3 linked regions of the Struthio camelus genome follow. The main gene of each other region encodes a partner of the protein of the gene in region 3 in a complex. Links are inferred from orthologs where the notes say so. Each region holds a gene or a part of one and is shown on either strand. Other genes may lie near its edges.

Evidence for each region.
Region 1: the proteins of SF3A1 (region 3) and SF3A3 are in contact, whole or in part, in an NMR structure (PDB 2DT7), measured with the Homo sapiens proteins. The link is inferred for Struthio camelus from reciprocal best matches to the Homo sapiens genes SF3A1 and SF3A3. Residues at the interface, in NP_005868.1 of Homo sapiens: Ala161, Phe162, Asp165, Val166, Leu169, Thr170, Phe173, Asn177, Phe181, Gln184, Leu185, Lys188, Phe195; in NP_006793.1 of Homo sapiens: Glu80, Phe81, Glu83, Phe84, Tyr85, Arg87, Leu88, Ile91, Lys92, His95.
Region 2: SF3A1 (region 3) and SF3A2 share a complex: the UniProt entries of both Homo sapiens proteins name them as parts of the SF3A subcomplex of the 17S U2 SnRNP complex. The link is inferred for Struthio camelus from reciprocal best matches to the Homo sapiens genes SF3A1 and SF3A2.

What each region holds. Positions count from the first base shown.
Region 1 is NC_090964.1:11,168,525-11,176,051, forward strand, and holds the start of SF3A3 (splicing factor 3A subunit 3), read right to left. Parts: upstream 3,009-7,527; 5' UTR 2,945-3,008; coding exon 2,849-2,944; intron 2,172-2,848; coding exon 2,124-2,171; intron 1,955-2,123; coding exon 1,902-1,954; intron 1,389-1,901; coding exon 1,283-1,388; intron 411-1,282; coding exon 338-410; intron 1-337. UniProt on the Homo sapiens protein: Component of the 17S U2 SnRNP complex of the spliceosome, a large ribonucleoprotein complex that removes introns from transcribed pre-mRNAs.
Region 2 is NC_090967.1:3,446,983-3,454,563, reverse strand, and holds the start of SF3A2 (splicing factor 3A subunit 2), read right to left. Parts: upstream 3,079-7,581; 5' UTR 2,973-3,078; intron 2,964-2,972; exon of another isoform or gene 2,912-2,963; intron 2,858-2,911; exon of another isoform or gene 2,417-2,857; intron 2,182-2,416; 5' UTR 2,137-2,181; coding exon 2,011-2,136; intron 1,523-2,010; coding exon 1,451-1,522; intron 1,108-1,450; coding exon 1,061-1,107; intron 737-1,060; coding exon 627-736; intron 1-626. Other genes in the region: PLEKHJ1 (pleckstrin homology domain-containing family J member 1), read left to right, coding at 3,193-3,286, 4,539-4,606, 6,615-6,681. UniProt on the Homo sapiens protein: Component of the 17S U2 SnRNP complex of the spliceosome, a large ribonucleoprotein complex that removes introns from transcribed pre-mRNAs.
Region 3 is NC_090958.1:4,787,904-4,795,016, reverse strand, and holds the start of SF3A1 (splicing factor 3A subunit 1), read right to left. Parts: upstream 3,030-7,113; 5' UTR 2,830-3,029; coding exon 2,764-2,829; intron 316-2,763; coding exon 203-315; intron 1-202. Other genes in the region: CCDC157 (coiled-coil domain-containing protein 157), read left to right, coding at 4,394-4,641, 5,559-5,733, 6,483-7,113. UniProt on the Homo sapiens protein: Component of the 17S U2 SnRNP complex of the spliceosome, a large ribonucleoprotein complex that removes introns from transcribed pre-mRNAs.

The sequences.
Region 1 (7,527 bases), on a different chromosome or scaffold from region 3:
CTAGAATTTGAAAAGGATTAACTGTGGATTAATTTATGCTTAAACAAGATGTCTATGATGCAAGAGGCATCCTCAGTGATGAGATACCTGGCTGCTTCTCTACGTAAATATACTAGAACATTCCCCAAGAGAAGCAGCGCTACTGTGGAACCTTCCAGGGTGGCTCCAGTTCAGAAGGAATTAAATGAAATAAGAACAATTCTCTGAAGTAATTTAGTAAAAGGAAAGTAGAATTCTAAAACATGCAAGACAGACCCTATAGTTCATTAAATAACTCCTCTCAAGTAAGCATAACTTTTTTACTTAAATTAGCCTCAGAATAAAACTACAGACTTACTTTGCGCCTCTTCACTTGGGTTGTCTCTGGCCTTCAGCAGCTCCTCAAACTCCACTGACATTGGAACACAGATCTTCAAAAACAGACAGAAGTTTCAGATAAAAGATTACTTCAGCTAATGTCCCAGGACGGTCAATATGAAATCACAGTAGCAAACCTCATAACTGAAAAGGCATCCAGCGCACAGTCTATGAAAATCTTGTTCCAAATCCTAGTTCCCCATACAATAGAGGAAAACAAAACCAAAAACTCCAGCTCCCTACTGATTCTGGGTACTTGGTTCCCCTTGGATAATGTTTACTCATACCACTCAGCAACCCTGCCTGCACATATACGTGCAGTATATCTGAGATTTTAAATAGCAGAGGGTGACTCTCCTTGCTACTGAGGGCAGAAAAGCCAACATCTGAGGTGTCTGCAGTTCAGTGCAGAGACTGGAGGGACAGAACAGCAAACAACTTTACAATGTGACGGCAGAGAAATTCCTTTGCCTTTCCCACATTTATCCAAACTAATTCTGAGTGCAGAAGAGAGGTCCTGAACTCATCAGCGCAGGCCAGCATTTCCTCACCATTACTTTTGCAAAGAAGAAAAGACACTACCCTTTAATCTGACGTTAGGCAGCATGAGAAAGACGAGACTGAATGCCAGCTCAGCAGCAGAGTGTTCCTAAACTAATACACAGCACCCAGAGAACACGGTTAGCATCTTGCATTTTTTCCTATTGTCGCAGCGCTCATAGCTTACATACAGCCTCTGAAGCACCATCTACCTTTAGATGTTTTCTTTTCCCAAGTGACATTTTAGTACTTGTCACTAAACCTTACTTTGTTGTAAATTATGTATTAAGGTAACTAAATTGAACAAAACAAATTCTGCTTATTGTAGGGATGAAGCCCAGCAGACCACAAGTCACCTGTTCTTATGAAGTAGATGATTATTTACCTCATTTGGGTGCTTCCGATGAAATTCTTTAATCTGTTTTAGTCTGTTGTAGAATTCTGCAAATTCATTTGGTCCTGAGATGGCACTGAGTTCTTCTTTTCGTAAGCTATAAGTTCATAAAAAAAGATTACAACAGGGAAGTCTGTAACGTGTTTGTGCCAATATAGTCTTTCTTCGTGTTTAGTACTGCATTTCAGTTACACAATGTTCCAGTAAGACTGACTGCATAGCAGGAGATGTTTGGTGGCCTCAGACAGTTATACATGCATTTCACAGGCTTATACTTTAAGACTGCAGGTCATGTCTCCTATTGAAAATGCAGTAGTCTCCACTTAGCAAGGTTCAAAGTGGCTCAAGGGCCTCCCCCAGTGACTTAAACCAGGAAAGTGACAAAACATGTATATTGTTCCACATGAAGATATTCGGCATGAAATCTGGGCGCTGCTCTAGGCACTGCCAGGTTTAGTCTCCAAAACCTGATCAATGTTCTCAAATACCAGCATTATTTCCTGAATATTTAAAATACACTTAAAAGCCCCTCCAGGTTCCTAGGTAAAACGCATCCAGCAGACATTGAGGCAGATGCAGTACCAGAAGAAGTGTCTGTACAAGCCCTTACCCGTCCTTGTCATCATACAGGTCCCTCAGGTTGCCGCTCACTTCCATATACCTCTGAAAAACACAACAAAGCCCAAAATGCCACAGGGGAACGTTAATAGCCACCCAGACCCACTGTTTCCTGGCTGCTCTGGCAATGACAGGCAGCGGCCCATTCCCACGTCGCTCCAGGGGGCTCAGAGCGCCAGCAGCAGCCCAGCCCCGCCCCGGTTCTGGCACTCACGTCCTGCATGGCCCGCGTCCGGTGGTCGGAGTTGATCTGGTCACGGAGCTGCGCGCAGAGGAGCACGGTTAGTGCGGACCAGGCCTGGCCTGGCCCCGGCCCTGGCCTCTGCCCCCCTGCCCCTCGACCCCGGCCCCAGCCACGGCCCCGGCCTCTCCCCCCAGCCCCAGCCCCAGCCCCGGCCCCGGCCCCAGCCCCAGCCCCGGCCCCGGCCTCTGCCCGCCGGCCCCCCGGCCTCTGCCCCCCAGCCCCGGCCTCTGCCCGCCGGCCCCCCGGCCTCTGCCCGCCGGCCCCCCGGCCTCTGCCCCCCGGCCCCCCGGCCTCTGCCCGCCGGCCCCCCGGCCTCTGCCCGCCGGCCCCCCGGCCTCTGCCCGCCGGCCCCCCGGCCTCTGCCCCCCGGCCCCCCGGCCTCTGCCCCCCGGCCCCGGCCTCTGCCCGCCGGCCCCCCGGCCTCTGCCCGCCGGCCCCCCGGCCTCTGCCCCCCGGCCCCCCGGCCTCTGCCCGCCGGCCCCCCGGCCTCTGCCCCCCGGCCCCCCGGCCTCTGCCCGCCGGCCCCCCGGCCTCTGCCCCCCGGCCCCGGCCTCTGCCCGCCGGCCCCCCGGCCTCTGCCCCCCGGCCCCCCGGCCTCTGCCCGCCGGCCCCGGCCCCGGCCTCCGCTCCCTGGCCCGGCCCGGCCCCAGGCCCCCGGCCCCGATCCGGCGGCGGGCGCGGCCCCGCGGGCGCACCGTGGACTTCTTGGTGAGCATCTCCTTCACCATGACGTCCATGAGCCGCTCGCGCTCCTCGTGGTAGCGCCGCTGCTGCTCCAGGATCGTCTCCATCCTCCCGCGCACCGACCGGAAGCCGCCGCTGCCCCCTTCCGGCCCGGCCCGCGCCCGGCGGGGGCGCTCCGGCCCGGCCCGCGCCCGCCACCAAGGTTCCGCCGGCGCGAAGGTTCCGGGGCGGCGGCGGGCGCGGCCGGGGCCGGGCGGGCTCAGGGCGGCGGCAGGGCCGGGCCGGGCCGGCAGAAGGCGCCCGCCGCAGCGCCGCCGCCGAGGCCCGCGGCCGAGCCGCCTCTCAGCTCCCGCCGCCGCGCAGAGCCGCGACCGGCCCCGCCCGGGGGCGACCGAGTCCTGCCGCCGCCGCCGCCGCCGCCCCCCACAGCCCCGAGGCCTCGCACAGCCCCGCCGCCCCCCACATCCCCGAGGCCTCGCACATCCCCGCCGCCCCCCACGTCCCCGCCGCCCCCCACAGCCCCGCCGCCCCCCACGTCCCCGCCGCCCCCCACGTCCCTGCCGTCCCCCACATCCCCACCGCCCCCCACAGCCCCGAGGCCTCGCACATCCCCGCCGCCCCCCACGTCCCTGCCGCCCCCCACATCCCCGCCGCCCCCCACAGCCCTGAGGCCTCGCACAGCCCCGCCGCCCCCCACAGCCCCGAGGCCTCGCACAGCCCCGCCGCCCCCCACGTCCCTGCCGCCCCCCACATCCCTGCCGCCCCCGACATCCGCGGCCCCGCTGGCGGCCGAGGCGGGGGGCTGAGCCGGCCGGGCCCAGCCGGAGGGGGAGGCGTGCAGGCCCCGCCAGGCCCTCGCCTCCCGCCTGGGCTCCCCGCTCCGTTGCACCCCGCAGTTCGCCGGCGCCAGGGCAGCGCTGGCTGCGGCCGGGGGGAGCTGGGCAGCACCGACCCTCCGGTGCCGCGCGCTGCCCCGCACTGCCGTCGGCCTCGGGTCGGGGCTGGCCCGGCCTCCGCACTGCGGCCACCTTCCTTGGAAGCGAGGCGAGGGGGGGACGGGGACGGGGACGGGGACGGGGACGGGAGGAGTCGCGCGGGGAAGCAGCCGCGTCTCGTCTCGTAACATTGGGCTTGAGACGAGGGCTGGGCCGGCGAGGTGCGGGGACGCCGGCGAGGTGCGGGGACGCCGGCGAGGTGCGGGGACGCCGGCTCGGCCAGCGCGCGGCCGTCAGCGCCGGCCCAGCAGCGCAGCCCCCGTGGCCTGGACCCTGGCAGCCCGGGAAGAGCCGCAGCGCCCGCGCGGGGCCCGGCCCGGCCCCGGCCCCGCGACGCCCTGGCGGACCGCCGGCCCGGCCTGGGGCCTGGAAGGAAGAAGAGCTGCGGTGCAGCGTGCAGCCCGCACTGCCCCGGCGTCCCAGCTGCAGCCCGGCACCTGGCGAACGCGGACCTCGGCTGGCCGTTGCTGCTGAACGCAAAGACCACGTGGGCCGCGCACCAGAACCGGCGGCCCAGCAGCCTGCGCCCGAGCGACCTGCCGGGGGGACCCTCCCGCGGGAGCCGTGCCTGCGTCCTTCCACTCTCCTTCGGTTTCAATCGCCTTCTTCACATCCAACCGTAGTGCCGAGGAGAGCTCGTGCCAGTGCTTTGCCCCCACTTTGCCAAATACAAAGCTGTAATTAAATTTTAACTCACAAATAAATTATTCATCTTTTTTTACCATGCAGACTACATTACTTTAAGCCGAAAGCAACAAAAAAAGAAAATTGGGCATAATTACGGCAGACAAAGATGATTCTGCCCTGGGAACAGCCAATTCACCAAGGAGAGGATGATACTAAAAGTAAGAATATTGTCTTTAATTATGGTCCCGCACTAGAGGCTGCCTCTCAGTACGTCATTTTTTCCTCGTGAATGCCTGTCTAAAAATAAAAGCAGAGATAAGATCCTGAACTTAACGTTCCTCCACTTCCCGTTGCATGAAACTTCACCCCAGGAGCAGTAAGGGGGTGCAATCTGGCGGTGCCCCGTGCACCGGGGCTGGCGGCGCCAGGAGGGTCGCGGCCGGGGGAGCAGCCGCTGCACGAGCGTCTGGCCTGGGACGGGCCGGGGCGACGTCCTGCTCCGGGACGCGGCTTTCCCTGTCCGGGCAGAGCGGCCTGCCGAACCGGCACAAACCCGCTCCCTCCCGGCAGCGGCGCCCCGGTGGGAAGCGCCGGGGAGGGGGCAGCAGCCCCCGCCGCCCCCGCCCCACCGTTAGCCTGCCCTTAACGATATTTTCATGACTGCTCCGACCCGCGCTCCGGGAGTCTCAGGGGACGTTTGTGCATGACATCAGCCTCCCCTTCCTGCAAGCCAGGCACCGGGCCGTGCATATCCATGACCCATTCATGACAGGGATAAAATCCAGATGTTCCAGCGCTACGTGCAGCTGGGTCATTTCCTTTTTTGGCTAAAAACGTGAGGCTCTTGAGGCTGACTGAAAGAGGAGCCTGGGGGCCCTTTGTACAGAAACCTTTTGTGGTTAATCCCTGGAAACAGCGCTGCAGAAACAAGGGTTTGTGGTGCTGCTGCTGGAGGACAGACGCCGCTGGAAACCTCCCGGGCCAGAGCTGCCTGCTCATCGCTTGGGGCCCAGCGGCAGCAAAAGCAGAGCCCAGCGCAGGTCGAGGGCAGCAACGGCAGCAGAATCGTACTGGGAAAAACCCTTTAGCTGCCGGCGCCAACGTTTGCGGGAGCCTTTGAAGGAGCCAGGAGCCTGCACGCCCAGAGGCAGCGCCGCGGTCTGGCACGAGCTCGCGGCGGCCTGCGCGGAGCCGGCGGCAGCGGCTCCTGCGGGAGCGACGCCTCCGCGCCGAGGGGGGCCGGGGCTGGGGCCGAGCAGGCCGGCCCAGAGGAAGTCGTGGCTGCTGTTAGTAAACGTAAAGGAATCTGCGGAAAATAGTTTCAGATGCTAGGGGAATAAACGGGTCCCCAGCTGACATCCCGAGCAACGAGCACGCAGCGCTGCAGCGAAGGGAGCCCGCTGCCACCCCGGCTGCGGACGACGGCAGCATCCGCCCGAGCCTCCTCCCGAGAGGTGGCACGCGGGCCGGGGGCACGGGGGGCACGCTTCTGCCGCCGGACGTGGCTGAGCGGCGCGGTGACCCAGGCCGGCTGCCCCGGGCCATCGCTGCGGATGCGGCGGGAGCTGCCGCTCCTGGGCTGCGATGCAGCGTGGCGCAGCCGGGGCGTGAGGATGGGGAAGGGACTTGCCAGGACCCCGGCCTGTCCCCACGGTGGAGCTAGGGGAGATACCTGCAGGGAGCCACAGACCACCTCTGCTTTTGGAGGACAAGGCTGAGCGCAGACCCCTTCGGGCAGCCCGCCGCCCTGCGCCTGCTGCTCAAGAAACACGTGAAAGCAAGTGTCACTAAAACAGTTTATTATATAAAGCCTTAGGAAACATACAGGAGGTGAGGTCTAGGACACTTCCTTCTAGAGACTGCTCCAAGCTCCTTAGAATAGTGAACACACAAACTCTGATTTGCCTGCATCAAAGCTTTCAAACGAGGGTTCAATGAGGATCTGAATACAGAATTAATAACTCTAACATGCATAACGTTCTCCGTTCGTAAGTGAATCCTGTGACGGGGGCTAGCCCCTTCATCCTGCGCTTTGGTTACAAAATGACAGATATTCACGACAAGAGAGTACAAAAGGAGAAAAAAACCCACAAGAGATGCATTCAGAAAAGCCTGCGGCTGTCTAAACAGGAAAGCAGGGTTGGCACAAGCGCCCCAAGCACGCTAGAGCAAGGGGGACAGAGGCAAGGCAGGCATGAGCACCCAAAGGGGCCGTGGGGGCCCGGGGCCGGCTCAGCTGTGGGGCAAGGACAGCACAAGCCCTTGTGTGGGACCGGGAGGGTTCAGCAGCCTGTGTGCTATTTTGCAGTTAGGGCCACAGCAGGGACTTGGGAGCTGCAAAGCTTCTCCCCAGGGGAGCCCAGCTGCCACCCTTGCTTTGCCTCTCATTCGGGAGGAGCGTGGCCAGGGAGCCTCTCCCTGTGCCGGGCAGGAACGCTCAGCCCCAGCAGGAGCAGGGCGGGGGGACGCCCCGGCCGACCTTCGGGGGCTCGCTGCGCCACGGAGCTCCTGCCTTCCTCCCTCCATCCGCCCCAGCGGCCACCAAGCACAGCAGCAGCCTGCAGACAACTCCAGAACTAATGAAATGTCTTTGGTGATCTTTGTGTCACTGCCGGCTGGCCTCGGTAAGGCAGTCCCTATTCTGCAGTTCCCCATGAGAGGGAACGAGCAGGAATAAAAACCCTCAGTGCTCTAACAGCCTCCAAAACACCCTGCTCCGCTGTTTCGCTAGAAGTATCTCAGGCAGCATCACCAGCTCTAGCTCGGGTAGCTGCAAACACGGCCACATGTGCAAACAGCTACAAGGCAGCTTCAGGGCTGAACAGAACAGAGGCAGCCGTGGGGAGGTTGCAGCACAGGCAGGAGGATGGGAATGGGCCAGAAAGGTGGCAGGGCTAGAGTGCTCCATACTCACTGGCGGTTTGAGGTCCTTTTCCACATCTGAGTGAGAGCAATTCCGTGGAGACACGCAGAGCAAAGGGCCTGGGCCCACAAAGGGTGAGGTGGCTAGAGAAATGGGGAGTGGTTCCCATCTGGCATGATGCATGATATTCTTCTGACCGTGCTCC
Region 2 (7,581 bases), on a different chromosome or scaffold from region 3:
GTAAAGGCAATAGGAGAACTCAGCACCACGCCTAACAGGGCCAGAGCAACATTATTTCTGCCCTACAAAATACACAAAGCTCCATGCAACAAAACATTGTGAGATTTTTTTCATTTACCAAATGCTACACTGTCTTTAACCAAAGCTACTATGGGTCACTACTGAAATTCAGCTGCTGTGGGACAAAGACACTGACACACTGTGCATTGCAAACAAAGATGGGAGACAGACTGAAGGCTAAAGCAAAACAATGGGGAGCTGAGGGGAAAAAATTGAGCTATACACCCAATGAGTGATTCGTGAGCATCACTGAAAGATGGTACAGCACAATAAAAAGGGGAGGAGAGACTGAAGCAATGTCATCATCTTCCGTCTCACTGTTATAATAAGAGCTGAAAGACTGAGACACAGCAATCTCTTATTAAAAAGATCCTCACTCAACTGTCAGCTCTAAAGAGATGTTCCATGGGTAATTTAAACAATCAAGGACATCAGGAGATAAGTCCATATCTTATTCATGGCCAGATCTGCTAAAAAGACTAATTAATAATTCATACACACAGCACAGCACTTCAAGCAAGCTCACCAAGCATTAAGTATATGCCACGACAGACACCCCGACATACCTTTATAACCTGGTCGTCCAATTTTCACAAATTTCTTCACTTCCACTTTGACTTTTTCTGGTGCAGGCTGGGCAGGAGCTTCCTTAGCTTCCTTGGCAGCTCGACGGGCCCTGAAATCATGCGGGAGGGGTGCTTAGACCTACTCCTGATATAAACAGACTTACGCAGTTTGCTTTTAAAGCTCTTTCTCCCCCTTCCTTCAGAAATTCCACAACCGGCTTTGAACTTCAGCTTGAAACGAAGCTTGTTGGCACCATTGTTTGGAGCAGATCTAGTCCATACCTGCTCACCAGTGCCAGGCTGTTCACTTCAAAAGTGAAAGGATATTCAAGCACAGTGTCCCGCTACATAATTCAAGATTTATAGATGAACGCAATCATACTTCTGGAGTGCCTAAGTAATGGAGAATAAAGCTACAGTGGAGAATGACTTACAAATTGGTCTGATGCTTTTTCCCCTGGGTATGCGCTAAGTAACTTCCCTGAAATGAAAGCAAGATAGAAGAAAGTTAAATGAAGACAGGACTGTTTTTAAACTGGAAGATAATTGTCATAGACGAGAAGCTATGTTACATGTTGACAGGTAAAAAACGCTCTAAACCACAAGGATATTTTAACCCCTTTACCAGAGAGGAATCTTACTCAAAAATTGCAGATTGCTCACAACTGCTGAGCTGTCACGAACTGTCGTGCTTTAACACACACAAACCACTCCTCACTCACCATCTCCTCAGTAATCAGTCATTACATATGCCTCAGATTGTTGCATTTGAAGTTAATATTATTCCAAAATATTTCTTTGCATGGAGATTAAGATAGACTCACCTCATTGTTGTGTAGCGTTAGGCAAAGCTTGCATTCATAAGAACCCAAGTGATTTTTCATAAAATAAGGGTCCTAGGAAGAGAATTTTTAAAGTCACAAGCAAAATTCATGGCAAAACAATAGAGTAATCAAAACACATAATGCAGATTTTTTCCTGCCCTGGACGAACTGAGTTCTTGGGTTTCAATTATTAGCATAACATTATTTTAGGAATATAAAAGCAGAGACAAACAACACTAATTTTGTTAAGCGGTAACAGCAGACCCAAATGCTGTGAAGAAACAGCAAAATATGAACCAGTCCTGAGAAGCCCAAGAATAACGCAATGGCAGCTATTTGAATGCACAAGTTTTGGCCTCTCTCTGTTCAGCCCTTTCACAAATGTTTCTCCTGCATTAAAAGAAACAGAAGTATTTCATTCAAATCTACAACTCTCCACCAAATCTCTCATCTTCCAAACTGTTTCATCCAGGCAGCAGAGCTCTGAACTTAGCCACAGTTTGTAGGACTGAAGTGACATGTCCTTTCCTTCCTAAATACACAGACTGGTCAATGCTCACCTTGTTGATGTCAATCGTTTCCAAAGCTAGCTGCCGAAGTCTCTCCCTGCGGTCTCGGTTACTTTCTGAAGCGGAGGCTACGCCTCCGCTTCCAGTTTTACCTCCAGGACGATGCTGAAAATCCATGATGGGGACTTCTCTACTTCAACTAGTTCAGAAGAACGAAAAAGTCTGGAAAAATGAAGGAAAGCAACATGGGTGATAATTAATGCCTTTCCTAACCTAGACGTCATTCTCCTATTTAGACCCACCAGTAAGAAAAGGAGATGGGCACAGTAAAAGCGTTCGCTAAGAGCTCGCTACAGAACACAATTTCAAAGTCAGTAGGTCTTGGGGCGCTGACTCAACAAGCTGCGTGTTGAGTAGAACCAAAACGATCTAAACCCTAAATAACCCGCCCAGAGACCTTCCAACCTCCTCAACGCCTTCTTCAGCAAAAAGGAGAGACGGATTCCTCCCCCAAGCATTCAGCTGGGCTCCAGCAAGGCCCTACAGCTCCCCTAGCAACACACGAGCCCCACTAGGTGCCCCCAATCCCTCCATCTCGATAACGAACAGCCCCAGAGCCCCATCAAGGGTCCAAGGCTGAGTTGCCCCACGCCCCCGCCACACACGCACCAGCACAGCCGCAGAGCCTCCTCCGCTGAGCCCCCAAACCCTCGGCGGAGGCCAGGGCCACCCGCCGGCCCCAACCCCTCAGCAAGGCCCCGGCCTCAGCAGCCCCAGGAAGGCCCCAGAGCCGCCCCCCCCCCCCCGCGCCCTGAGCAGGGGTCACAGGCCCCTCGCGCTCGCCCCGGCCCCGCAGCAAAGGTCACAGCTCCACACGCGAATCCCCCACCCCCCGAGCAGCCCTCAAAGTCCCCCTTTCCCCCCCCCCCCAGCCCCTCAGCACGGGTCTGACCCCCAGGACGGGCCACCCCTCCCTCCGAGCACCCCCCCCCCCCCCGCGGCCCGGCCCGTACCGGCCCGCGCCCCGCGCCCTGCTCCGCGCACGCGCACGCGCACCGCCCCCCCCCTCTTCCCGCGGCGCGCGACTTCCGGCGCGGCGCGAGCGGTTCCGGGCCGGGCGGGAGCGGTTCCGGGCGGGAGCGGTTCCGGGCGGGAGCGGTTCCGGGCCGGGGCCGGGGCCGAGGGGAGCCGGGGCCGCCCGGCGGCGGCGGCCGAGGGCGGCGGGGCCTCGCCATGCGCTACAACGAGCGGGAGCTGCTCTCGCTGGCCCGGCAGCCCGCCGAGAAGGCGGCCGAGATCCTGATGCGGGTGCCCAAGAAGGGGAGCGGTGAGGGGGGCCCGGCGGGCGGGGACAGCGGGCCGGGGAGGACTGGGGGAAGGGGCAAGGGCCGCACTGGGAGTACTGGGGGGAAGGGACAAGGGCCGCACTGGGAGTACTGGGGGGAAGGGGCAAGGGCCGCACTGGGAGTGCTGGGGGGAAGGGGCAAGGGCCGCACTGGGAGTACTGGGGGGAAGGGGCAAGGGCCGCACTGGGAGTGCTGGGGGGAAGGGACAAGGGCCGCACTGGGAGTGCTGGTGGGGAAGGGACAAGGGCCGCACTGGGAGTGCTGGTGGGGAAGGGACAAGGGCCGGACTGGGAGTGCTGGGGAGAAGGGACAAGGGCCAGACTGGGAGTACTGGGGGGAAAGGGCAAGGGCCAGACTGGGAGTACTGGGGGGCTGGACTGGAGGTAGAGCGGGGGTATAAGGCTGGGGAACAGGAATGAAGATCTTGGGCTTGGACTGGGGGTGCAGCATCGGGGCAGGACTGGGTGCTGGACTGGAGGGGCTCGGGCTGGGGTGGAGGTACTGTGGCAGGACGAGGAGGCTGGACTGGACGTGCTGGGGCAGAGTGTGGCTGGCAGAGGCCGTGAAAGTGGGACTGGGTGATAGGAGAACTGGAGGGATATGCAGATGGAGAGATGTGGAGGGATTTAAGGGAAGCAGGAGGCATCAGGGTGGAAAGTAGATACGTTCCTTTCTCTCTCCCAACGCTTTGAGTGTGTCTGTCAAAATAAGAGGCTCTTTGCTGAAATACTGCTGCAATATTCCTTGCTGTTAAATGTTAAATCAATGCTGTTGCCCAGAGCTTTTTGTCTTCCTGAGGACCTGCAGGGACCTGACAGGCTTTATCCTCAAGAAGTGACTTTTGTGCTGATAGTTCCAGGCAGGGTCTCTCCCTGGATTTGAGATGCCACATGCAGGAGGCTGTATCACGTATATAGCTGACACCGTACTTTGGGATCGGTCCAGCCAGAAGGTGTTAGAGAAATCTGCGACACTTCTGTTGTCATCTTTTTGCAGCCCACTGGGATAAATCGAGACGGTGCATTTCCTGAGTGGGCCAAGCATGATTTAGTATTGGATGCTCCTGCGGCAAAGGTTTAAATTAAAATGGAGCTTCCCCCTAGACTTGGTTGAATCAGCGTGTTGCTGGGTGCTAGCAAAGATGGAATGTGCTTCCCTTTTCCTTTCCGTTGCCAGCTGGCTCACACGCTTCATCCCACAGACTTGCCACCTGAATGCTCTTTTTCTTTGCAGTGTTAAAGAAACGCCTTGTGAAGCTTGTTGTCAACTTTCTCTTCTACTTCCGGACAGATGAAGCGGAGGTATGGAATCTGCTTTTTTCTCTGTGAATTGACTTTATGTACTTTGTAAATTGGTACAGTAACAGGCTGCCCTAGCCAGAACAGTGAGCCCACATTTGCTCTTCTATCAAAACAGTAAAAGCTCCTATGGGTGAGAAGAAATCACTGCCATCTAACCACATCCAGATACTGTTTGCATGCATCTGGAATGAGTCTTTTAAACATAACCATTGCCCAAAACTGCAAAAGATGGAATCTGTAATGTTTAGTTGTAGGGCTGCAGCTTTTCGTGTTAAACTGTGAGCGGAAGTTTATATTATGCTCTCCTGGGAAAAGAATTAGCATTGTTTCTTCTCTTCTACACCAGGAATATTGCTTACATACAGTGCTCACTGTTCCTGAGAAACTTGCATGGTTATGCTCTGTTAATATTATTATTTTTGGCATTCGGAGGCCCTGTTTAGGTCTAGAAAAGTAGAATGAGGGATAAGACATCTGGCTTCAGTTTCTGGCTTTGCCACTGCTGAGATATTATGGTTTTTAAGTGAATTCCTTAATAACTGTTGCTAAAGAGTCTCTAGTTGAAAAATGAGTATAAAAGAAATCTTTTTAGCGTGTGTGAAGAAACACGCTGTGTGCATGCTGGCAAGAGGTATGTGGCATTTTTAGACTGTGTCCATTACAAAATTTAACCCTGATAATGGTTATGCTCTTATTTTAAGATATTTCTTTTCTCCTGCCTACTGAACTGCAGTCACTAATCACTTTTCCACTGAAGCTGCAATCACAATACTCTAGGTATGGCCAAAAGCTGAGCAGTCATTCTTGTATGTGTGTATGTAGACATGCAGACAGATGTAAAGATTCGTCTGTAACTCCCACGTGAGCGTTCTGTTATGAGAGTCGGAGGATACTCCTTACAGCCTGTCTCCTTTACTGCAACCTAAAGCTAGTTTTGCTGTTTTCTGTTCTGACAATTATTATTTTTAAGCATTTTTGTGGGTTTTGATGGAAGGCAGAGGATGTTATTGAATGGATCAAAAGTAATTTGGCAGGTGATTAGTGCTAAAGTAAAACTGTCATGCCAGAAATACATATTTTAAACAGATTTTTCGGTATCTTCTTTGCTGCTTTATTTGTCTCTTCCGTTTTGTTTAGGTTGGACAAAAGAATTCACTTGTGGTTTGCTTTTGTTTATGGCTTCTATCACTCCTTGGTTCTCATGTCCTTGCTCAGCGTGCACTGGGTGGCAAATAGTACCTGCCGTTTGTCTGTTTATCCTGAACTGTTCTAGTTCATCAACACACTGTTCTTAGCCTCTTGCAAAGCTTTGAGCCTGCCCTTACAAAGTTAAATGTGGAATTTTGTTAGTCTTTCTCTGTGCCCTCTGAAATATTTCATCTTAATTTGATCTGTTGAGCTAGAGAGTAAACTCTGTCACTGTCTGTGCATCACAGAAGTGCATGCTAACCCCCAGACTGAATCTGAGGAAGTAGAAACAGAGAGTTAAAAATAAGACTAGTAAAATGAAGCATGTCAGCAGACACAAATCGGTTGCTTAGAAGAACACTGAACGTTCCTTTAATTGTAGACTAAATTACCTTAAAAGCCGCATCAAGTTTTGAAACTTAAAAGTCAGTAGCAAAATTCTGTGGGTTCAGAACTATGTGAGCAAAGCATATGTATACATGTATATCTCGCATGTTTCAAGCTGTCTTCACAGTTTGTTGAGCAAATCTTTTTTTTTCCGCAAAGGAATGAGGCTGTGAGTATGCACGTTTATTCCAGCATCAGCTGAAGGTCAGGAACTTGCTACACTGGCATAACTTGTTTGGTTTTGATTTTCTGTTTTTTACTGCAGTTAGTGCAGAATATGCAAAGATCTCCTGGAAATACAGTTCCTCTGATAGGTTTCCCCTATAACCCCTCCTGGGTTAAAATGAATCTGGTCACTCTCCCCTAGTGATCCATGCCTGTAGCACTGGCTGGACAACATGTGTTTAAACCCTCTCTCCTGGTCTTTTTCTAGCCCATCGGAGCTCTGCTGCTGGAGCACTGCAGAATCACCAAAGAGGAGGAGAACGTCTTCTCAATCAGTGAGTTCTGCATATAGATGCCGTTTGTGTTTCCCTTATGCAATTAAAAATACTATATAAAAGAAAATGTTTTGCTACTTAGTTCCCGCTTTTCCCTGTGTTTCTCTGGTTACACTGGGCCTAGTGTTCCTCAGCCCCTCTCTTTGTCAGCTGCCAGTTGTTACTGTGATGTTGCCATTCCCGAGACGGTGGTATTTCATTGCTGGCTGAAATCGTCAGTGTGTGTGATTTGCACAGCTGCCTGTGAGGAAAGAAGCTGTAAAAACACACTGGCTATGGCTTAGTGCTTGTGGAAATCCCTCTCTAGGAGGGTTTGGTATTGACAGATTGCTGCTTCTGTGCTATTACATTTTTATCAAAAAAAGTGAGCCTCAGATAAACCATCTGTCAGACTAATCTAGCACCAGTCCTCCCGCCACACTGTTTGTCCTTGTGTTGATAGCCATGACTCCAGCTGGCTCATGGTGTGTCGTCCTTTGTAAGCAGCCTTTCATCCAACAACTAATCATTGTGCAAGAGGTATGTGGCAAAAATAACAGGATGTTTCTCCAAGGCCATCCCCATATCTTTTGGCCTGGCTGTCAGGCACAGCTGCTTTTCTGTGCAGAGCCTTGTCTTCTCTTCCAGCCGGGAGGGACCACGTTCTCACTGTCTCCAAAGGATCCTGGAGACAGCCTGAACATACCAACCTGTCTAGGCACCACGCTTGGAATTACCAGGGCTTTAGGACTGTCAAAAGCCCTAGTGAATGAGGTTTCCTGAGAAAAGTGTTAAAAGCGATCGCATTTGGAGTCGGGTTGCGTCCCCATACGGGAGCCCTGAGGTGTATGATGCAGTCTGACCCAGTTACTTCTCAGCAGCAGCCTAGATTTCTGTGAATTGTGTAATACAGTGCAGATC
Region 3 (7,113 bases):
TTACAAAACCTCATCTTAGCTTAATTACTAAAATGGAGCACTGGTAAGTAAGCTCCCTTTTTACCTGCAATTCTCTTTCCCTTCATGTCAAGTCATAGGATAGCGACTGCTCCAGTTTCTAGATCCACAGAGACAGGAGCACTGGAGGTAGAGAGGCATGGAAAACCCTGAAAACACGGGACACAACACTAGCATCATTTACCTGGCTACGAAGCTGGCAGTCTTGTCAACAATATTCCTGACCTCTGGAGGAGGGTAAATAATTCCTACCACAGGCTTGGCTGGTGCTGCTTCCTCTTTTGGCTCCTCTTCTGGCTGCAAGAAAGATATAGATAGATATATATAATTTCCTACAGTCCTCTGTACTGCTGCCTTGTAACTAAAACAGTCCTGTCAGCCACTTCATCATTCATAAGATGGTTATAGGATAGTACAGGAAGAGATCTTTCATTGCAGAGTTTGCAATCAGTATGTCAAGATACTAAGCTGTAATAACCTAAATCAAAGCTGATAAGATAAAGAAATTCAAATAATATTTGAACAACAGGCTATCCACCAGCATCAGGGTGTGAAAGCACGTTCTGACAGGCTGCAAACTGAGACTGGGTTTATCCTGAATCGGTTAGCTCGAAAAATGAATTTCCCTTCTCTCTCTGCTTCCTTATCTGTATTGGAAATAACAATCCTAGCATACCTTTACAAAAGGCTTAATGAACGCTGTATCAGAACCAAGTATTCTAACCAGCAACCCAAACGCTTGACAGAACTGTCTATTCTGTACCCCAGCCCCCAAATCATTTTACTATTCTGATGCAAAAGTCTTATCCTTTCTGCTCTAACTGGTTTAACAATCTCAATCAACAGCCCATTCCTGGCTTCCCAGGGTGAGAAGATAATATTTGTCTGCTTGTCAAGGGCATTTACTGCAGAGGCTGACATAGCAAGGCAATAAAAAGGAAGGCCGCTCCATGGGAACCATAAATAAGTCTTTCCAGCATTTTTAGTATTTCAGCCTTGACCCTGAGTAGGTTATAAACACTGTGGCAAGAGGCAGTGGAAGAGACCGCCTGTAAGAACACATGCGGGAATAATTTAGCATTGCTAAATAGGTTTGGAAGTTATGAACACTCCCAGCAGCTTGTGGAACTACAAAAAGCTAGAACCTGAATGATTACATCTAGATTAAAAAAAAATCCCATAGATCTTAATCATATTGAGGTTGCATCAGAAGCTTCTTTTCATAGAGGCTAAACTCAGCAAGGTATTTTCCTCACAGATATTACAGTAGGCTCTAAACTAAAAATCACAGAACTCTTCCCAAGAATAGTTTTATCTTTCAGTAAGATAAGAAGCTGTTCTTTGCAGGATAGGAAAGATATCTCCCCTCTTGTCTTAGCAAGTAATTTTCACAAAAAACACCATTATAAAAGACAGGAGATACATGAGAAGTGTTTGTAATCTTAAAAGTGAGGGTCAGGGGAGTTTTAAAACACCGCTATGCTGCTACTAGTTTTGCTGATTCTGTGTCAGAAGTTGGTGATTCCAAGTCAGAAGACGGATTCGTGCAAAATACAACTTTAACAAAGTATTCTGTAAGGAAAAAGGCATCATAAACCTTTCTACTTTTCACTCCCATTCCCTGAGAACCAGAACATCAGAGGACCAGAAGGAGAAGGCAATACCACGCTTGAGGGACATTTTTATTTGAATACCATGCTGAGTCACCTTGTTAATTTACATCTATGAAAGTGACAGGGTATTTATCGGGAGCTACAGCTTTCCTCCTAACTGCACTTGCTACACCAAATCACCTAAGCAGCGATATTCCAGGAGCAGCTGCATTGTAGCCTTAGCCAACATCAGTCCAGGCTGCTGCACTTCTACCCTGTGCACTAACCCTACAGCTTTAACGGCCATAAAACAGGCCAGTTCAACATACTCGTTCAAATTAACCTTACCAGGAGCAGGAGACAGATTTTCAGTTAGATCAGCTCCTTACCCTATCTTACTGCATGGCTGCACTAATGCTAACGCTAGCGTGGGGAACACCAAGAACGCACAACCAGGATGGCAGCTAAAGCTACGCTAGAACCATATGTCACCAACATATGATTTTGGCTTTTACAGAAGGCCAAAAAAGGCTCCTGAGGAGGTGAACATGACCGAGACAGAACAAGCAAGAATATGTGAAGGCCCTAGAAGAACATGAGAGACTGAGTCCCCTAAGTCCCTCTAGGACAGGTTTCTTGAGTCTTTTCCAAGCTTTTGCACATCCCTCCCAAGGGCAGGGCTGCTTCCACAGTTAACAGCAAACATTCACCTCCATCACAATCACAATCCTCTGCAGCTTCCACGAAAGGATCCGTACTTACCCGGAAGTGAACTATTTGCCCCACCCAGCTAGCGCAGACGTATAGGGAACCGCGGGTGAGTCCTATGGGCGCAGCAAAAAATAACAGGATGGAAATGTAGCCGCCCCAAAACCAAGAGAAATGGGTTAAACCCAGAAGCCACCGGCCAAAATAAACCCAACGAGCCCGGATCGCTAAAACGCAACAGGAAGCACTGAACAAAACGCTGCCTCTGCATCCAAAATATACACCCATAAAAAGCAGAGCGAGCCCCCGCACCCCCAGCTCAACGCCAGGAGAGCCGGAGCGCCCCTCCGCCTCAGCTGCCGACGGACTCCAGGGGCTCCGGGCGCGGCCTGCGGCCCCTCCGGGCGCAGCGGGCCGGGCCGCCCCGCTCCCGCGCGGCCCGTACCGGCTTGCCCTCCGCGGGCGGCGCTGGCTGCGCCGGAGGCATCGCTTGCACGGGCCCGGCCGGCATGGTGATCCCTCGGGGCGACGGGGGCCGCTTCCCCGCCGGAGCCGCTCCTCGTCCGCCGCTGCCCGGAACCCCGCAGCACCCTCACCACCACGGCCGAAATGGCGGCCGGCCCCTCCGAGCTGCGCACGCGCGCCGGGTGTGACGCACGCTGCGCGCGAAGGCGAAGCGCGGGCGCACGCGCGGCTCGAGGAGTACGGGTCGCCCGGGGGCGGGGGCCGACGAAGGAGCAGGGCGCATGCGCCGGGGACAGTGCCATTAACGGGCCACAAGAGGGGGAGGAGCGTTCCATTGCGGGGGCCGGGGGCAGTGGGCCGTGCCTCGGGGGCGTGGCCTGGCGCGGTTGCCGTGGCGGCGGGCGCGCCGCGGGGCGTGGCCTGGCACGGTTGCCGTGGCAGCGGGCTCACCGCGGGGCGTGGCCTGGCGCGGTTGCCGTGGCAGCGGGCTCACCGCGGGGCGTGGCCTGGCGCGGTTGCCGTGGCAGCGGGTCGCGCCGCGGGGCCGGGGCCGGGACTGGGGTCGGGGTCGGAGCGGCGCGGCGCGGCGGCAGGTGGGTGCGTGTCCCCCCCACGGGCACCTCCGCGCCGCCTCGGCACATCCCCCCGGGGACCCCCGCGCCCCCGGGGCCCTCCCGCAGACTGCCGTCCTCCCCGGGACCCGCCGCTGGCTCCCCCCGGCGCGCCGCCAAGGCCCCACCGCGTGGCCCTGCCGGCACAGACCCCCACGGCCCGGCGGCGCACAGCGCGCGGAGTCCGTTCTGGCACACACGGTCCGTCCCGGCCCATAGGCTCCATCCTGGCACGTATGATCAGTCCCGGTGCGTGGGGTCCATCCCGGTGCGTGGGGTCCGTCCTGGCACACAGGGTCCGTCCTGGTACATGAGGTCCATCCCAGTGTGTGGGGTCCGTCCCGGTGCGTGGGGTCCGTCCTGGTGCGTGGGGTCCGTCCTGGCGTACAGGGTCCATCCTGGTGCATGAGGTCCATCCCAGTGCGTGGGGTCCGTCCTGACGCACAGGGTCCGTCCTGGTGCACGGGCTCCATCCCGCTGCGTGAGGTCCATCCCAATGCATGAGGTCCATCCCGGTGCATGGGGTCCATCCTGGCGCACAGGGTCCGTCCTGGTGCATGAGGTCCATCCCAGTGTGTGGGGTCCATCCCGGCGCACAGGTTCCATCCTGGCGCACAGGGTCCATCCCAGTGCAGGGGGTCCATCCTGGCGTGCAGGGTCTGTCCCAGTGTGTGGGGTCTGTCCCAGCGCACAGGCTCCATCGCGGCGCGTGGGGTCCATCCTGGTGCATGGGGTCCATTCCAGTGCACAGGTCCATCCTGCCGCCTAGGGTCTGACCTGGCACGTAGGATCTGACCTGGTGCCACATGTGTGTCCCTACCCTGGGCTGGCCTCAGCTCAGCCTCGGTCCCGCAGAGCTCCCGCCTGCAGCCCGGCAGCCGGCCGGCCTCCGCAGCCTTTCCCCATCGGACCAGGAGCTCATCGGACGCAGCACAGCGGCGGGGCGGCCCGTGGGCTGAGTCAGGCTGGAGCTGCGGAGCCTCATCCTGCCACCCCGGCATGGCGCACCTCCTGGGCAGCCCCACCTGCATGGACAGCCTGAGGGCTGACATCACGGACCTGCAAGGAGCCATCGCCGACGTCTTCTCCCGGGCTGGGGCTGTTCGCTACCCTTCCTGGAAGTTCCCCGATAAAGTATCCTGCGAGCTGGACCTGGTGGAGCTGCTGGAGCACTACGACTACGTGGAGAACGACCTCGAGTTCACCCAGCATTCCCACGTGGTGCTGCTGGAGCTGGTAATCGACAGGTGAGAAGAGAAAACGAGCCCAAACCATCCCCTACTCCTTTTAAAAGAAGGCTGGTTGGTCCAGTGGCTCCTTCCCTTTGGAAGGAAGGCAACATTTCTGCATCCAACCTGTCAAACGTGTCCACGTAGCTGCATTTCTGCTTGGAGACAGGTGCTGGCACACCTGCAGTTGGAAGGGTGGGATTTGTGCTCCAGAGCCCAGCCCACCTGCGCTGAGTGTTAAAACCCAAGTCCTTTCCCTTGCCCGGGTGGGATCAGAGCTACCGGGAAGGCACTCTGGGCCCTGATGCCATCATTATGATCAACATTGGGGTCTGTGGATCAGTTGGGACTCTCAAAGGCCTTTAACCTTTTAGAAAGTTATTAAGCAATGGTTGTTGTGTGGTCCCTGGCTTGGTGCCCCTCTCATTAAATAGCCCCCCAAAACCCTGGGAACGCTCGAACCCAATCGCAGCTCTACCTGGGAGAGCCTGGGAGGCAAAAGTGCCCTTTGCGACCTGGGTTAAGTAAAATAATACTCAATTTTAAAGACAAGCTGCTCATGCAGAGCTGCTTCTGGATATTTGGCCTTGATGTTGGCAGCCTTAGTGCCCCAAATCTCCTGGAATTGGCTGACTGCACCAAGAGTACGTCCCCCTTGAGTAACCCCCTGCAAGCAGAGTGCACGGTCTGCATCTTTGCGGCTGCCTGAGGATTTTAATCCCACCAAACGTTGCTCCATTGAGCGATTCAGGACAGAGGAGGGGAGCTGCGTGGGGGCTGATATCCAGCCTCCTTGGACCAACTCAGACTGTGCAGGGAATGGGGAGGGAGGAGAACCTCTGCCTCAGCCCTGGCCCTGCACTGTTAAATGCCAAGGGCCCTCTCCCTGTTCCAAATACTCTGTTGCGCTAAGCTGTGTTTCGTTTCTGTCGAAGAAGGCTGCTCCTGCTGCTTCAGAGCTTCACAGGCTATGCAGAAAACCTGCTCAGCGACAAAGCCATCCCCCCAGCGCAGGCAGTGGGGCCCTGCATGTCGGCGGGGCTGACGGTGCGGAAGTACTGGAACAGCATGCTGAAACTGGGAGCCCTCTACAAGCAGCTCCTGACTGAGGTGGGACATATGGGGGCCCTCAATTGCCATGAGCCGAGAGCAAGGCTCACAGAAATACCCCTTGCCTCAATCCCCCCTGGTTCAGAAGCTGCCTCAGGCCTGCATGCAGCATCGTGCTAAGGTCACAGTCCTCTGGGATGCCACCTGATGTGTGGTGGTGCAGGGGTGACAGAGCAGGAGGGAGCCCTGCCCTGGCAGGTGGCATGGTCTCATAACAGGTCTTCTGGCTTAACCTTGAGACAGTGCACGGAGGCGTGAAGGAAGGGACAGTAACCAGCGCAGGAGCTGGGAAGCAAATTTCATGGCAGACGCCTTCCACTGTGAAACCACAGCCTCCACCTGGCTAAGGTATCAGTGGCTGAAAAGCTACCCAGCAGCTTTTAAAATTCAGTTCCCTGGCTTCCTCCCTCAGGGAGTACCCAGGATCTGCGTGAACAAATTGATCTTTTGTTCATTAGCCATTTGTCTTGGTTGTAATATATGGATATGTAAGATATTTAAGATATGGAGCACAATAAATAGGAACCCCCAACTGCTTGGTAACGTTGTTCTTCCCCCAAGCTCCTGGAACTTCTCTCCTTCCAAGAGAAGGCCTCACTGCCCTCGTAGCCATTTGGCTGCGCTCTCACTGATGTCCCATTCCCACATTTAACACCTTTGCATTCAGGCTGATCTGGATCATTTGCAGCTGTCTTGGTTGCACTGTTCAATCTGGGCCCTATGTTTTTCTTCTGTGCTCTCTCCCCCAGAAGATGACTTGCACAAAAGACATCTCCACACTGAAATCTACCCCTGAGGGTGTGAAAACTGAGAAGGAGCATTTGAAGAGCTGTTCACCTGCTGTTTCGGAGTTAACCTCATCCATAGATATTGCCCAGTCAACCTCTTTGTGCCTGCTGCAGAGTGTCAGCGTGCCAGACTGTGACACCTCTGGCAACTCGCTTCCCAGGTCTACATGCAGCCGCAGCATCCCCACACAGACAACTGAGTCATCTCTGGTACCCTGTGACTCATGTGCTAGTGCACAAGCCAGCCTCCGGGAGGTCAGCAAAGCCATCACCGGCATCTGCCAGAGTCAGAACATCCCCTCGGCTCTGAGCAGATTCCACGAGACATTGGAGGAGACCATGGGTAGAAGGACCCTCTCTGCAATGGACATGAGTTACTGGGCCTCAGAACAAAGCAAGGACCTCTCCCGGATCAGCAAACATCTCCACATGCTGCTGCAGCTGATAAACCCTCTGAAGTCAAAGCTGGAAGAATCAGAGAAACAGAAGGATGAGCTGCAGAAGCAGGTTGAGGAATTTGCCAAATTGCTTCAGGAAGAGAAGAAAACCCAAGAACAGCAGAGGAAGGAGGCTGAGCAGACCCTGGAAGTAA